Arabidopsis thaliana: one gene and its partners. The protein of the gene in region 3 interacts with the protein of the main gene of each other region in a pairwise test. Each region holds a gene or a part of one and is shown on either strand. Other genes may lie near its edges.

The links.
Region 1: the proteins of AT1G07860 (region 3) and ABCG2 interact in a protein complementation assay, tested with the Arabidopsis thaliana proteins (one large-scale study listed by BioGRID).
Region 2: the proteins of AT1G07860 (region 3) and HA8 interact in a protein complementation assay, tested with the Arabidopsis thaliana proteins (one large-scale study listed by BioGRID).

What each region holds. Positions count from the first base shown.
Region 1 is NC_003071.7:15,674,305-15,678,062, reverse strand, and holds the start of ABCG2 (ABC-2 type transporter family protein), read left to right. Parts: upstream 1-2,142; 5' UTR 2,143-2,240; coding exon 2,241-3,758.
Region 2 is NC_003074.8:14,722,176-14,725,933, reverse strand, and holds the start of HA8 (H[+]-ATPase 8), read right to left. Parts: upstream 1,832-3,758; 5' UTR 1,626-1,831; coding exon 1,575-1,625; intron 1,490-1,574; coding exon 1,133-1,489; intron 1,054-1,132; coding exon 739-1,053; intron 659-738; coding exon 212-658; intron 131-211; coding exon 8-130; intron 1-7. Other genes in the region: AT3G42630 (Pentatricopeptide repeat (PPR) superfamily protein), read right to left, coding at 2,299-3,456, 3,531-3,620. UniProt on the Arabidopsis thaliana protein: The plasma membrane H(+) ATPase of plants and fungi generates a proton gradient that drives the active transport of nutrients by H(+)-symport. The resulting external acidification and/or internal alkinization may mediate growth responses.
Region 3 is NC_003070.9:2,428,339-2,431,517, forward strand, and holds AT1G07860 (Serine/Threonine-kinase RLCKVII protein), read right to left. Parts: upstream 1,094-3,179; coding exon 928-1,093; intron 888-927; exon of another isoform or gene 846-887; coding exon 604-845; 3' UTR 573-603; downstream 1-572. Other genes in the region: AT1G07850 (transferring glycosyl group transferase (DUF604)), read left to right, coding at 1-100, 262-381; AT1G07870 (Protein kinase superfamily protein), read right to left, coding at 604-845, 928-1,040, 1,605-1,903, 1,983-2,374, 2,480-2,669, 2,767-3,005.

The DNA of each region.
Region 1 (3,758 bases), on a different chromosome or scaffold from region 3:
ATTGAAGATATAATAACATAGAAAGAAATTAAAAATGTTTGCTTATAGCTTGTAAGTTCCTTGTACGTGACAATGACGATATGAAATTCAGTTTTCTAAGACTCAAGCACAAACACTTAGCTTAGAATGGTCTCTTGCAAGCGCTCTATGTGAATAAGTTATAAAGTGTTTGCTACATGTTTTGCTTTTTCCGGTAATTGTGATTTCAGCTTCTGGGCATTGACTTATATACATCCTAATCTAGCAATACATAAAGGTTTTTAGATTTTGAAAGGTAATATTCGCATGCTCAAAAGGTAATATGCAAAATTATATGATAGTTTTTGTTTGTTTGTTTGCGGTCGCTAGCAACAACGACCATCAAAATACTTTGTTAACTGGTTTGCAGTTGCTATAGCATAATTCAATCGATGCAATATATTGTTATCACTATAACTTGTCACTATTGCTAACGATTTCAAAACGATCATGATTTGATCAAATCTATATCACTGATGACTACAAACAAAGATTAACTACGACTAATTTCGATAATAAGGGACAATGAAGAGATCATCGAAAAACAGATATTCTTGGATATTTTTCGTTAGTTATATTCGAAAGTTTATATTATATTTTCTAGCAAACAGGAACAGGCCCTCAATCATGTTCGACCAAATTAGCTGCCAGAACTGGTTCTCTTTGATAACATTTGTTTATATAGATATAAGAATTTGTTCAACATTTATTTTAACTATTAAACAAAATTGAAAGGGACAGGCGTCATAAAACAAACAAATAGTATTACGTATACAGATTTATGTGGATCATGTGATCTCTTGTAAGAATGGGTAAATAGAATCATCTAGGTCTTATATATTGAAGCGTATAGTATAAAGTTCTGGAAAACAGATATAACAGCCATACCAAACGTTTTATATGCCTACTTCTCCACGTTAGTCTTATATAATGCATTTCTTTTGGGTATTATATGCCTATTTTTTCACGTTAATGAGAATTTTGGGTTTTCGTGTAACCCACTCATACTATTGAAGTCGTGTCCACATTTATGTTCCAGTGACTTTCTAATTACTATTTAGATTACTATATGCCCATGTTGCTCAGGATACCTATGTGATAATGTTCCACATATAAGCTTACTTATTTCTTGATAATCTCTCGTAATTTAAGTTGTGCTCTCATGTTTTCAATCGAAATCGAAATGGCATACGTAAAATTTTATGAACTTTTCAGATATAGTCAGTTAGTAATGAGTGAGTAATATACTTGAGAGATATATATTTGGTTTAATCAAAATTTAACTTGTATTTTTGTTGCTTAATTCAAATATTTTCCTTTTATAATACTTTGCCACTTCTTACTCGTTTGCTAATTAAATATTTTGCCACCTCAAGTATGTGACTGATTCTGAACAATTTGTTTTTGTTCGATTGATTATGGAGGACAAGTACTGAATTACATCCGAATAATGTGACTTTTTCTCTTGCTAGATATACTTTTTTTTTGTAAAAATCTTGCTAGATACTTTTTTTTTTTTGGTCAAACAATCTTGCTAGATACTTAAGTATCCAAAACATGTTATTTTGTGGTATCTCTCAATAAAAAATATCAACCATCCTCATTCCTCCGAAAAGAAATGTTTTCATTTGTCAACAAAAAAAGATAACGACAGTTTTACACTAATAAAATAAAATAAGACAATATTGTAACGTTAGTTTTAATAAGATAGGTACGAGTTTGCCGCTTTGGCACGATTTGGACAGCTAGCTGCTCAGTAACAGTCAAATCTAATTTTGCACGTACGTTATTCGCAACACTAATTACGCCTATAATGATTTCAATCCCTTAAGACCCGTGTAACTAAACCCAAATAGTTACTTAAAACTCTAGAAAATAGCGAATTTTCAAACTACCTTAAGCCCCAAGAAATAGATATAAACATAATGAGGAAGAAAAATCGAGAAGGGTTTTTGTACAACTTCCTCTCACCTACCCATTTACTTTTAGGTTTGTACATTACATCAAAACATACAAAACCCAGAAGCTATCGTTAGATACTTAGAGATTACCTACTATATTGACCATTTCGTATCTCTTTCATTCTTATAATAAAAAAATATCTCTTTACTTTATAGTAGTCTCTTCTCTCATTCCTCCTATATCCTATTCGTGTCTTCTTTGTGGGTATGAGCTATATAACCCACATAACCTGAGAAGATTAAGACAAAAATACATAGAAAATGTCTGGCTTGCTCGGAAAATCATCTCCGGCCAAACGGGTTGATGGCAACAATGATCTTCCTATGTATTATGTAAACCCGATGTCCGTGGAGCCTCAAGGACGTCCAAGCGACACGACTAGAGTCTCTGTCACATTCGCCGAGCATCTTATGAACGTGGAGGATGCAAGGAATGATGAAAGTGCAAGTAGCCGGGCTCTGGGAATTGCCTCACCTATCAATTCTGCTGCATCCTCTTTCAATTCATGGGCCTCTGCTCCTGCTTCTTCTATATCTTCTTCCCCGTTTGTTCTTTCATTCACTGACTTGACCTACAGCGTGAAGATCCAGAAGAAGTTTAATCCCCTCGCTTGCTGCAGAAGGTCAGGAAATGATTCCTCGGTGAACACTAAGATACTATTGAATGGTATTTCAGGTGAAGCCCGCGAAGGGGAGATGATGGCGGTTCTTGGAGCAAGTGGGTCCGGTAAATCAACACTGATCGATGCATTAGCCAACCGGATCGCAAAAGATAGCCTCAGGGGATCCATTACCTTAAACGGAGAAGTTCTTGAATCAAGCATGCAGAAAGTCATATCGGCTTACGTGATGCAAGACGACCTTCTCTTCCCGATGCTTACCGTGGAGGAAACTCTAATGTTCTCTGCAGAGTTCAGGCTCCCTCGTTCACTCTCCAAGAAGAAGAAGAAAGCAAGGGTTCAAGCTCTGATTGACCAATTAGGCCTAAGGAGCGCTGCAAAAACCGTGATTGGTGATGAAGGCCACAGAGGAGTGTCTGGAGGAGAAAGGAGACGGGTATCAATTGGAAACGACATAATCCATGACCCAATCATCCTCTTTCTAGATGAGCCAACCTCAGGGCTCGACTCTACAAGCGCCTACATGGTTATCAAAGTCCTTCAGAGAATCGCACAAAGTGGCAGCATAGTTATCATGTCAATCCATCAGCCTAGTTACAGAATCATGGGTCTTCTAGATCAGTTAATCTTCCTTTCTAAGGGAAACACAGTCTACAGCGGCTCACCAACACATCTCCCTCAGTTCTTCTCAGAATTCAAGCACCCAATTCCTGAAAACGAGAACAAAACAGAGTTCGCTCTCGATCTCATCCGAGAGCTGGAATATTCTACAGAAGGAACCAAGCCACTTGTCGAGTTCCACAAGCAATGGCGAGCAAAGCAAGCACCAAGCTACAACAACAATAACAAGAGAAACACCAACGTATCTTCTCTCAAAGAAGCGATAACCGCGAGTATCTCAAGAGGGAAACTCGTCTCTGGAGCAACGAACAACAACTCATCAAACCTAACACCATCATTCCAAACATTCGCCAATCCTTTCTGGATTGAAATGATAGTAATAGGCAAACGTGCTATATTAAACTCAAGAAGACAACCAGAACTCCTCGGAATGAGACTAGGAGCTGTAATGGTCACCGGAATCATCCTAGCTACAATGTTCACTAACCTAGACAATTCCCCAAAAGGAGCACAAGAACGTTTAGGATTCTTCGCATTC
Region 2 (3,758 bases), on a different chromosome or scaffold from region 3:
ACATTACCTGCTCAGGAGCTCCTTTACTGCTCCGATGCCAGTCTCCGCTTTCATCGATGTATGTGATCGCTGTACGTTTATCTACAGGGTTAAAGGGCAAGAAATGCACCTCTGTGATTCCTGCTCTTGCCTATTTATTTCATCAAAAACAATTGCAACATAAGGACAGTAAACAAAATGAATCCAAGTTTCACAAATATGAAGTACGTACCTCTTTAGGATCACCCAACATTCCGACGATGGAAGCATCAATGGCATCTTGGTTTTCAATCCTGGAAGCTCTTGCAGCCATCAATACAACTGAGTCACTATCCATGTTCTTTGGGAACACTTCAATTAAGGACTTGTCGACAGAGAGCTTGTTAAGGGTTAGAGTTCCAGTCTTATCACTGCAGAGAACATCCATTCCAGCCATTTCTTCAATTGCAGTCATCCTCTTGGTGATGGCACCTTGTTGAGAGAGTCTATGTGATCCAATAGCCATTGTTACAGACAAAACTGTTGGCATGGCGATTGGGATTCCTCCGATCAAAAGCACCAATAGATTATCAATACCATCTCTGTATGTGCGGTGTTGGATAGGGTACATAATCAATATCTCAATCAACATCCCCAATCCAATTGAGCATATACAGAAGTTACCAATTGATGTCAAAACCTGGAAAATAAAAACCCAGCCGTGAGACCCTAGGTAGACCAAGAGTTACAGTACTCAGATGTTGTTCATTTCTAAAATACCTTTTGGAAATGGCCAACATTGTTGGTACTGTCAACAAGATGAGCAGCCTTGCCAAAAAAGGTGTGGACACCCGTGGCAATGACAACAGCCTCAATCTCACCTTGCTTGCAGGTTGAGCCAGAGAATACTTCATCTCCTGGGTGTTTGGTGGTTGGAAGGGATTCACCAGTAAGAGCAGATTGGTCAATTTTTAAAGGATCTCCTTCGAGGAGACGAGCATCAGCAGGAACAATGTCACCCAATTTGATGCTTATCAAATCACCCGGAACCAAGATTGAAGCCTCTTGCTCCCCCCATTTACCATCTCTCAACACCTACATTCACACATAGGTTATATAACTCTCCTTTTTAGAAAATACATACCTATATATATGTATTGAGAAATTTGCATACCTTAGTCTTTGGTGCAAGATTTGCCATGAGAGCAGCAGCGGCATTGCCAGCATTGTTCTCCTCGATGAAACTTATGGTGGAGTTGATGATAAGCAACACCATAATACCGATAAAATCTTGCCAATCCGGCGCCTTTCCTCCTCCATTAGCTAAAACAATAGCCATGATTGCAGCAGACTCCATAACCCATGAGAGAGGATTCCACATGAACCCCAAGAATTTCAAAAACTTGTTCTCTGATTTCTCTTCAAGCTTGTTTGCCCCAAATATTTCAAGCCTTTTAGCACCTTCATCGCTGGACAAACCTTCTTTTGAGCATTTCAGCTGCTCAAACACTTCTTCCACAGGGATCCGCTCCTATAATATAAATCATTCAAAAATTATTACAGATTTTCAACAGTTCAAGATCTCGAGAACGAATTAAACTCTGTAAAAATCTTACAAGGTCCACATTTTCTTTCTTGATTTCATCCCACGAGAATTCAGTCGCCATTTTTCTTCCTTAAAAGAGAGACAGATATAAAAAGAAGATATATCCGATGGACGTATAAATCAACTTCTCCCTTCTCTCCTTGCTCTAAAGCCTTCTCTTAGCATGCAAGACGCTTTCAAGACGAGGCCATAAGAGAGAGGGAGAGAGAGGAAGAAGCGTGTATTACAAGAAACCTATGAGAAGGTATAAATACAAAAGAATAACACACTCTAAAACAACCATTGTTGTGTTCCATTTAAAACCCTCACCAGCGATCTAACTCTATTCTCGGAACTTTTTTCTTTTCTTCCAGTAATCAGGTTTGGTGGCTTACCAAAGCTTTCGCTTATTTCTTCCTGTCCTTTTCTCTACACTTTCTAAAAATAGTGCATCTCAAATTTAGCCTATGATTTCAATGTAACATGCAGAATTTACTTTGAGGAGTCAATATGTCTTTCTATGGTCCACAACTCCGGATAAAAATGTGCATTAATAATATGTATGTAATTCAATATACATATCTATTTAACAATAAAACATTGTAAATACAGGCATGTATGATTTATATGTAAATCTAGTAGCAAGAAGACTCTCTAACCTCAATGTTTCATTTCAAGCATCGGAAAAGTTTATCAGGGGGATTGTGATAGTGAGCAAAGAGTGACGGTCTTTGCAGCAAAGATGTGGCATGTAGCTAGTAATTCCAGAAAATCTGGTCTCTCCGCAACTTTTTCTTGAGATAAACTCCAATTAGCTTTCTATACGTCCAGTTTTTCCGTGGACTGAACTCCAAAACAGCTTCCGAGCTAAGATGGAAATCCCCTTTCCCCAGAACTTCAAATGCAAGTGGATCAGTTAAGACAAGAGGAGAATCGTCCAGATTCATTCGGTTGTATACAAACTCCAAATTTCTCGCTAGTCGCTTATCCATATATGCATCGACAACACATCCGAAAGTCACAAGATCCGGAACAATGTTCAAACGTCTCATATGTTCAAGAGTGAGATGTAGATCCCAGAAGAGAGCCATTCTAGAAAACGCAAGAGCGCGAATGTTAAAGGTGGTAAGGTCAGGAGAGAAACCCGCATCAAGCATTCCAATAAACTCTCTCTGCAAGCTTTTCATCTTAAAATCAGCTGCATATGACAGTAATACAGAATTCCATAACATATTTCCAAGATTTCTTCTACCGAGACCAACATCTGACAAAAACTCGCGTAACCGATAAAACTTCCGTTGTTTCAAGTACGCTAACACCACAGCTCTTATCTCTTCTTCCTCTATCACAATACCAAACTTCTTAACCCGGCCATAAGCCTTCTCCATCTTATCTAAACTACCGAAAAAACTATAGTATCTAACAATCACATTAGCAGTCTCAGCCTCTAACAACACTCCCTTTGAATCCATTTCCTCTATAACACCCTCCATCAGTTCCAACTGTCCATTCTTACCAAAACAGGATATAGCAAGTGAAGACACAACCGGAAGAAGCTTCGAGTGCCTTGCAGCAACATCCTTGGTGATCTTGGCAACTTCATCAAAACAACCAAATTGCTCATAAGCAGATATAAGCTTAGAGACTACAAAGACATCAGGTACAAAACAACTGTTTATAATCTCATCCCAAATCGTACGTGCTCGAAGAACAAACCCATTTTCAGCAAAACAAAGCATAAGAGCACAAAGGGTTCTGTAATTTGGTAACAAGTTAACTGATTTCGTTTGGAGAAAAATCTCATGAGCTACATCAGGTAATCTTCTCTGGCTTAAAGTTTGAACTAATGGAGCGTAGTCTACGATTTGTATCTTTTGACTGAAGTCCCTAGATAGCTTTGATTCCTTGATCAACTGTACAAAGTAGAGAGATACCTAAAATTCAAGATATGAAGTGAACTAAGAAACAGAAGCAAGTGTGTAGGTACCTTTTTCGCGATTGAAGGAGCAGACGAATCCGTGTAACAAGATAAGAGCTTGAGATGTTGGGGTTTCAAAGATAGATTGAGCGACAACATTGCGACCAGTCTCGGTTACGGTACGGTGGTGACGGAGGAATCGAGGAGATTTCCGGAGGGGAGAGAGAGAGATTTGGGCCTCAGAAGCTATAATTAGGGTGTTATTTCAGAGAACGTTTGGGCCTTTATTGGGCTTTA
Region 3 (3,179 bases):
GACAAGGCGGATTCCCGGGTGCCGATGGAGGCTCGATTCGCCTGGAAAGATCGATTCAGTCGTCGTTCTCAAGCGACCTGATCCCCTCCGATGGCACAAGGTTGGTCCACATCTTCTCTTTGCTTCATTATTAACAACTTGCATCAAATATAGTCATACCGGTTTGGTTTTGGCTAGTGAATTGACAGAGATAACCGGCTGAGATCATATAATAAACCGGTGTTGAAATAACATGATGTTAAAATTGTGTGTTTGGTGCAGTCACCGAGGAGGGATTGTTGCAGAGTATTGCCGAGTAGGAGAAACCAAACGATGTATATTTGGGTCGGAAATTGCGCAGATGGAGAGATCAGTGAGCTTGAACATCCTCAGCAGCATTAACAAGATTCAGATATATACTCACTAAAGATTTCTTCAAATGACTATGCAATTTGTTGAAAACATTCTGTGTATCGTCGTTCACAAACAATTCTCAATCCTAAATCAAAAACTATTGTTTCAACTGAAGCAAATACAAAGAAAAGAAAAATTCAATCCCTGAAAGTTATCTGTTCATGAAAGAAATCAGTAAGAAACTGAAAGAAACTTTTCTCCGTTCAGAGATTAGACTGCGTGTGGCTGTTTTGCTTTGTTCACCGACTGGGTTGCATTTTGCTGCGATTGAGTTGCGTTGTGAAAAGTTGTGAGATTCTGATTGGTAGAGACGACGGCGACGAGAGCTGAGGAGGCTGGTGAAACAGCAGAGGAAGCAAGAATCGCTAAACTGACATGAGACTCGTTTCTCACGGCCATGGATTTCTCAAGACGATGTATCGACATTATCTCTCCATCGTTCATGACGCTCACTGTAACCAAAACCAAAATCAGAAAGACTCATTTTCTCGGGAAAATCTTTTCTTAGATTAAAGAATCGGAGAAATAAGGAACCTGAGTGGGAGAAAATCCAGAGGGTGAAGAAACAGAGAAAAACGATCACCGGAATTGCATGGATCCAATACTCCGATACCGGAAATATCCCTCTCCGGGTGTTTCCTGTCCTTCTGCCAATGTGAGAAGAAGAGATCGGGAGCTGAGAGAATGATCTTTCCGCCATTGTTGTCTTATCTTGTAGCTTCTCTTCCAAGAATCACAAAACCAGTAGAGAGAGATAAGAGAGAAGAGATTTGTGAAGCCTTCTTGGATTAGGTTTTGGTTATTTAACGGCAAAAATCTTAACGGGTTCACGCGGGATAAGTTGCATCACGTGATCATAGTCCTATTTCTATTACATATTTACGACTTTTGCCATTCATCATTATGAATTTTTAGACATTACTTAATCCTAATTTACCAGACTTTTTGATCGGGAAAATATATATATGACCAACGATATTTGTTTTTGTTCAATATATGTATATATGTCCCAAAACAAAATGGTTTTTTTTTTTTTTCCTTTTCTACAGAACAGAAACATTCTACATACAAAGAAGCCGAGTCAAGATTTACATCCACAATAGATGTTAAAAATGTACCTGAGTTGGTTTTATATTTTTCCCCAATTTCTTGGTGAAGCCAAAATTAGATTTGATTTTTTACCACTCTCTTATTGGATATCCTATGAGGACCCTTCACATTCAGTTTCCTTGACGAGGTGTGGTCTTTTCTCTTCATCATCTCTGTCTCTGTGAAAAGAAGGGTTCTTCCCGCTGCTGCTGCTAGGGCTATTCGGATCATATTTAGAAGAGGCTAAGAAGTTGAGAGCCAATACTACATCAGATACCACTGGTCTCATGGTAGGCTGCTCTTGAACGCACATTGCTGATATTGCTAGTGCTTGGTACAGTCCTCTAACTGGGTATTGTCCCTGAAGCAATGGATCAACCATTTTTGGGAAGTTCCTCCTGTCTTTGAACAATGGTCGTGCCTGTTAAAAAGCACCGTGAAAATATGAGTCTTGTTTCAGTAAAGATTATTATGAGTCACAGCCAAGAGACAAAACATACCCATCCAACCAAATTCTGATCTTTACGCGTTTTTGTATTGTCAATCGCTTTCCTTCCGGTGATAAGCTCGAGAAGGACTACTCCAAAACTGTATATATCGGATTTAAATGTGAGCTGACCCGTCATAGCGTAGTCAGGAGCACAGTATCCGTACGTTCCCATAACCCTTGTCGAGACATGGGTTTTATCCCCGCTTGGTCCTACTTTAGCCAACCCAAAGTCAGATAGTTTCGGTTGATAGTCTTCACCAAGCAAAATATTCGAACATTTAAGATCTCGGTAAATCACAGGGGGCGTCATTCTGTCATGCAGATACTCTAAACCTCTTGCTGCACCAGCTGCTATTTTCATCCGGGTGTTCCAGTCAAGAGGCTTTTTACCAGAAGGGAGAACTTGAAACAGTCAAAACAACAATGTAAAAGTTAGATGAGAAAAGGGGGTAGCTGCGAGACAAACAATACAGAGGCAAAGGATAGGAATTTGATCTTACAACATACCATGTAGATGATCTTCAAGGGATCCTTGCGGCATATACTCGTACACCAGTAGTCTCTGATCACCCTCAGCACAAAACCCAATAAGCTTCACAAGATTCGGATGGTCAGCAAGACTTAGAGTCAATACCTCAACCACAAATTCCCTGATTCCTTGAACCCCATTACGATCAAGTTGCTTGATTGCAACAACCTAGCAGCAGAACCAAGTTTCACCAACCGTTCAAAACTATGACAAATCTCACAGCCAATTGATAAAAACAGATAGGATTTTTCTTTGTCACAAGTACCTGATCCAATTTCTCTATAGTTCCCTTGAAAACTTTTCCGAAACCTCCTTCACCAAGAAAACAATCCGATCTAAAGTTTCCCGTAGCTTCTGCAAGTTCTTGAAAAGTAAAAGTCTGTGCTTTCTTCCCTGTGACTTGGTCATTTAGATTCAAACCCTTCACATCCAAAGATAACTGATCTTCCTTACCAACTCCTCCTTCATTGTTTACATCTCTATATGGACTGACTTTTGTTGAATCTACAACACATGGAACGAGTAACAAAATCGATTACCAGTTATCATGTGACTTAACCAAAAACAGACACGGCAAGATACCAAAGGCTCAATTTTGACACTTTGTCCCCTCATGGAGGAGACAAAACCAAAAAAAACTAGCTCGATTTCAAAAACCCAACATCGTTTATATGGTGA